Caenorhabditis elegans: one gene and its partner. The protein of the gene in region 1 purifies or fractionates together with the protein of each later gene. This does not show direct contact. Each region holds a gene or a part of one and is shown on either strand. Other genes may lie near its edges. The genes, in order: T01G1.2 and nssp-76.

What was found.
Region 2: the proteins of T01G1.2 (region 1) and nssp-76 fractionate together in Caenorhabditis elegans (co-fractionation; one large-scale study listed by BioGRID). This does not show direct contact.

The regions. Positions count from the first base shown.
Region 1 is NC_003282.8:11,352,849-11,355,905, reverse strand, and holds T01G1.2 (uncharacterized protein), read right to left. Parts: upstream 1,499-3,057; 5' UTR 1,471-1,498; coding exon 1,318-1,470; intron 1,272-1,317; coding exon 1,105-1,271; intron 1,054-1,104; coding exon 939-1,053; intron 883-938; coding exon 844-882; 3' UTR 501-843; downstream 1-500. Other genes in the region: Kinesin-like protein klp-12, read left to right, coding at 354-491.
Region 2 is NC_003284.9:2,442,264-2,445,676, reverse strand, and holds nssp-76 (Activin_recp domain-containing protein), read left to right. Parts: upstream 1-2,272; coding exon 2,273-2,707; downstream 2,708-3,413.

The DNA of each region.
Region 1 (3,057 bases):
AAAAACAGATTTCACAAAAAAAAATCATCGAAAAATTGCAAATTGGAGAAAGAAAATTTTCGATTTTTGAAAAACAAATGTTTCATCAAATTTTGTTTTAGTTGGTGAAAAAACATAATTTACTTCTGAAAAAAAGAAAAATGACCAATATTTTACTTTTTTTCGAAAGTATCGTATAAGCGAAAAAACGAATTTCAAAAAATTTTTATTTTAAAAATCTGAAAAAATTTAAAATGATTGTTTATCGGTTTTATCGGAAAAAAAATCTGGATTACTTTGAAAATTATTGAAATGTCGGTATTTTTTCAAAAGATTGAAAAACTGACATTGTTTAAAATTTAAATATTTTTCAGGAAAAGCAATTCACTCAATCACAAGATGTAATTTATCGTGATGGACTTTTAGAAGCAATTGACAGTGCAAAACAGAAGCTTCAATATGTTCAAGATCAAATCACATATCAACAAAAACTAATTTGCGATGTTGATGAGGTAAGAGTATATTCAAAAGCTTATTTATTTGCAAAAAATAAAATATTTAAAAATCGTGCACAAAACGGGTTAAAAATGGAAATTTCGGAAGAATTCGGATATGAACCGAAGAAGGGGGAACAAATGATACAAACAAATGAAAAATGGAAAATTTTCAGAAAAGGAGGGAAAAGGGAATGAAGTGAATGTTTTTTTCGCAAAAAAAAACAGAAAAATTAGATTTTTGAGTTTATCTTTTTAAATTTGATTGAGTGGGGGGAAGGAAGAAATTAAGAGTGTTGTTTTGATGATCGCTACCCGATATGGACAAAAAAGAATAGAGTGAAGTTGAAAAAGGTGATCCGTGAGATGATTAGGATGGAATGGAACCACGTGTTCCAGTGACTAAGACCTGGAATATATAAATTATTGAAATAAAATTATTTTGTATTTACTAGAAATACTAACCTGCGTTGGACAGTCGTCTGCGCTCATTCCCGCCGCAATTGATCGTTTACTAACTCGTGCTCCGATTGTAGATCGACGTTGTGAAAGATCTGGAAGTGGCTCCGGTTCTTGTGGGCTGAAAGTATTAGTAATTGGAAATTGGATAAGAAATCTATCTGAATATTACTTTTTCGCTCTTCTGTAGGTCATGATAGTGAGAAGCATGAAGAGAATCGCACAGATACCAGCGGCCGATGCGAAGACAGCTCGACGCCATCCATTTTCACGACTAAATGCGGCTAACCAGATGCTGATCGCAACACTTATCAATAGTCCCATCACACATAAGAAGAGCTGAAAAACGTTCAAAAATGTTCTTTTCTGAAAGTTTTCAACTCACCTGTCCACCTGGTGTGATTCGTGAGTGGGATTGTGATGGTGCAGTAAGAATTTGCTTGATCGGAGTTTTATATACTTCTTGGGAGAAACTTGTCTTCATCTGAACACTGGTACGCTTCTCATTCAGCTTATTTGATCTATCGTTCGACGTCATTTCGGGCAACACTTGAGTGAAACTGAAAAAAAAACGAGTGATATGAATTTTGGATGTAGACTGAGATATAAAAATAAGCCAATTGAAACATTAAAGTGCTTCGTAAAACATTGTTGATCGTTGTTGATGGGATTGATCATATGATTCTAGATGTTCACTAGGTTTAAACTTTCAAAAAATTTCAAAGAAAAAAAGACCAGTATAAAGTCAAAAAGAAAACCGGAGGAAAAACGAGTGATGGAGGCGGAGCTAATGTGGCCATCATCATCATCATCATCACACGAGACGATGCTCTTTTCCTCTTTTCACACTCTATCACTCTTAGTATCTTTCTTCAGTCTCAGGCACATCTCAAAGAAGACATGATGATGTGTGCTCACTCCTCGTGTATGCTCTTTATCTTTATTTGAGGTTCAGAGAAGTGAAAGAAAAGAGATAACGACTCTGGAGGGTCTCTGGATTGTTTTTGATGGAAATTAGTGGAAAAATAATGATATTCTAGTTTAATATCCTACACCAAAGTTTCATTTTATCAATTTTGGATTCGCATCGAAATTTGATAAAGTTTTGTGTGATTATCCATAGATCTACAGTAATCCAAAAACTATAGGCTATTTTCGGATTCAAGTAAGATGGTCTAGACTAGATTAGGCCGAGTTTACCCGTTCTAGATGCCATTGTCTTCATCAAAATTTCAGCTGTTTTCCAATTCTGGGTCTTGGTTTGACTCGGTTGTTTTCATGAGAACCTATGACTATTAACACACTAAATGTGAAGAGGAGACCGAATCGAAAAAGCGAAATATGCAATATTTACGACTTGATCTTTTCAGAATTTCGGAAAAAAAAATTCATGAAATATTCAAATGCGTACTATAACCACACGCTATATAAAGAAAATGAACTTGTGTTCCTAGAAATCAAATGATATGTGAGGTAAACAGAAAGGTCTTTCGTTGAAAACAATCTTTCTTTGTTGAAAATCAAAAAAAATGCATCTCAGAGAAACTAGACTAGGATATGCAAATTATAATATAGATACACTACAGTAGATGTGTCACTACCAGAAGTTTGAAAAGAAATTGTTCTTCGTGGAATTGACATTTAAAAAAGAAGTTTCCATTTCAAGAAGTTGAGAATAAAAAGCTGAGTAAAGAAATGGAGGGAGAAGAAGTGCTAGAGGGGTTCATCAATTCGGACATACAAACACTCAGTCGAAATAGAAGATGAAGAAAAAGAAGGAGAAGGATGAGTTGCGAATTGAAATTAGGCATCGGTTGAGTGAGCACGCAAAAAGAATTGAGGAGCACACTGGGGATGGATGGGCTCATTTTTCTGAACCCGGACTTTTCGAAGAAAAACACCGTACGGGTTACTGTACTTGGTTCAATTTCGAATGTCTAGATCAAAAGTTGTCAAGTTCTGCTTCGGTAACCTTAGAACACAAAGAGTCTTCTGTTGAGAACAACCTTTGGCTCCAGGAGCTCTGCTGATTGCCTGATCTGCCGCTTGCTCTACTGACGACTCGTCAGCCTAACACAGCTCAGAATAGATACTTTTTTCCATCGTTTCTCCTGCTCTCAGCCTA
Region 2 (3,413 bases), on another chromosome or scaffold:
CACCAATTTTTGTGTTTGCATCCGGATTGATTTTCAAAAAAAAAAAAACGTTTTTCCGCATCTTTTTTTTCATGTCTATTTATCCTTGTCTTTTTCCCACACAACACCCACCGTTCATTTGCTTTCCAGTACTCCTTTGTGTTTCTTACTTCTTCTTCTTTTTTTTCCACGTCTCTTGGTGTACATGAATCTTTTCCTTAAATGTGGTGTGAAGCTGCTTGGTTCCCAAAAACAAAACAAGGTTCAGAAACACGTGAATGATTGGGTTTTTGTTGTGCAGACTGTGAAACGAAGAAGCACAATAATGTGGCATTGTGGTGAATGAGCAAGAATGCTTTGCTTTACAGGAAAAACAATCCGGTGTTTTTACTATTTCAATTTTAGAATGATTTCTTAACATGTTTTGAAAGAGCATCATTTTTTGCAAAATGCAACGGGCTGTCTAACGGGCATGATATAAGTAAACTTGGTTTGCAAAACTCATTTGAACTAATTTTAAAATGCATTTAATTTTCACCGGGATAACTTACAAATAAATGAATTTTAAAAAAGTACAGAAATGTTAAACATTCAATTTACAAAGGCATATATATACGCGTAAATAAAAACATAATACACCGAAACAAACAAAATGGGTTATATATGTAAGTTTGGTTTATTTGAACATTTTTAAAAATGCGGTTTCGTGTTCTGATTTTTTTTGCGATTTATTTTAACTACGATAGGTTTTTGATTTGAGAACCAGAAAAAACATGAATAAAAAATACCCAATATTTTATGAAAATAAGTTGTTTTCTTCAAAGCAACTGGGTTGAAAAAATGTAAATCTTTGCAAAATTAAACGATTGAAATTTCATCTTGATGGTGGTTTTTTGTTCAATTCTGTTTTACAGGGTCATATTAAAACGTTTATAGAAGGAATTTACAAACTAATTTCAAGCTATTATTTTGAGTTCTACTGTCACACAGTTAAATTCAAATTTTAAAGAGAAGTAAGCCGAATAATTTAGTTAATTCGAAAAAAATAAGGCTATGGAAAAGTTTCAAAAAGATGTCAAATAGTGTTGGTAAGTTGCCAGTTGCCAAAAAAGTGCCAACAACTGGCAATTTCGGCAACCTGCCAATTTCAAACACTATTTTAGGCAAGTTTTGCAATTTCACACAAGAATAAATCATATTTTCCGACCAAACAAACATTTACTTTTATGTTATTAATTCTTAGATTTTAATTAGTTTTAGTTTCAAAAAAATTGATTACCATTCTGAAACAAGCAGTTCTGTGTAGCTGCTGGGCTAGGTCCCTGATTTTGATATTTTGCGTAGTTGTTGGCAGTTTTTCATAATTTCCCTTAATAATCTTATTAAGAGTAGATCATATTACAGTTTGAACATATTTTGAAAATGTATTGCAATGAACAATTATCGTAATAAAGCTTCAAAAAAGGTTTTTATAATTTTTTTATGGCAGTTAAAAATGATCTAAAATATAGCATAGTTTAAGCTGAAATCTCAAATTTTCGCCACTTTTTCGGGTAGCAGTGATCCAAACGTTGACTTTTTTGAATAATCATCCTCTATTGCATATTTTGGTAGTTTATCTCATAAAATTTTGTTGATTAAGGTACATTTAAAGCGGATAAGTAACTAATGTCGATCCTTTTTAGTTACCTATCAGTTTCAAGTAGCCTTGATCAACAAAAAACACTAGATAAACCACCAAAATATGCATTGAAATGCAAACAAGAAAAAATTAACCTCGGACCTCTGCGACATGGAAGAGTGGTCAAAATTGGAGTTTTTAGCTGAAATTAGGCCTTTTTTAACTTTAAACTGTCATGAAAAATGTGCGGACATTTTTTAAAATTTCCAATACAAAATTCATTCAATTTCAGCACAATGTTTACTGCTCTTTCAGAAAAATAATTTTAAATTAATAACAAGACTAATTAACTTAAAATTTGTTATAGCATAAGATTTAACAGAAAACGGAATAGAGAAATTTCATTTTCATGAACTTTTGAACCAAACATTATTTTTGTCACAGTTCTGAGATCTCCGGTCACACTTTTCCATTCTCCCCCAAGCTTTTTTCGATGCTCAGAAGCTCCCTAAAAATAGCGTGAAATGGCGACATTCTTCTGATATATCATGCTTTTCTGTTTTTATCTCCGCCCATTTTGGGGTTGTACATTCTCGTGCCTTTGCGACATATAGTGCCCGGACTAACATATTCATGAAGCCCCACATTTCACTTCTAGTCAAAGAAGCATCCATGCCGCACTGCCGACGTGTCCTTGTTTTGCTCGTTTTATTCGCTGCTATTTCCAATTTCGGTACGAATGCTTTGAAGTGTCGACTGTACCATCGAATTTGGGAAGATGGTCACTTACTAAGAATCAATCCAGACATTTGCCACACTTCTTCGCAATATTGTGTGAGGGCAACATATTCGGACCCAGATGAAAGAAAGAAGAATGGATACTCGATGGGATGCGATAAAGTGGATTGCCAAGGAATCGACGATCCAACTTACACTGGATGGCAACAAAAGAAGACTGGAGAATATTGCCGGAAAAGCAGAGATTACGGTAAGAAAGGTGAAATCTGCTGCTGTGCTGATGACATGTGCAACTCGGTTCGACAAACTTCCCTAGCTCTTTTCACCTCTATTCTTATTATTTTCCCAGTATTATTGAACATTAATTGATATGCCACATAGAAATCAAACCACTCAAACTTCCCTTTACATGGTGCTTTCTTCTTCAAACAAGTTTTTCTTTTTAATTTTACATCGCTAAATTTAATAGCATGCAAATATTGTTTTTGTCATTTTTGTTGTAACGGGTTATCATTTCATTTTCAAAAATTGTTTTTAATAAATCACTTTGTAGTATTCAAGATGTCCTTTCAAATATTTTAGAATTGTTCTAATAGAGAAATTTGGAAATGTTTGCTAACAGCTATTTAATTGTTTAACTTGAGCACCAGTTAACAAAAGCATTTCTTCATTTAATCCAATTATATTTTTATAATAAAATTACTTGTATGTTACTATAAAATGGAGTTTTAAGTACAATTTTTAGATGTAATATTGCTTTAAGTTTTTTGTGGTAGACGCAATATCTATCAACAAATATATAAGCTGATTTCAAGAAAACTGCCGCAAGGCAGGGTTTAGTTGGAAACATTTAGAGTTGGAGGCAAATATTCCGAAGCTAATTCTCAATTGGCCGGTTTCAATTGCATTACAAAAATTTAATATGTAGATTTGTTCAACAGAATTTGTTCTGTGATTTCTAAACTGTAAAACTCAATCTGACAATGAATATTCGCAGTTTTATTTTCCAAAGCCACAGAGACACCTTGAAAACGTTGTATTGAAATTTTGACGTGAATTCCATAGTTTTATCAGA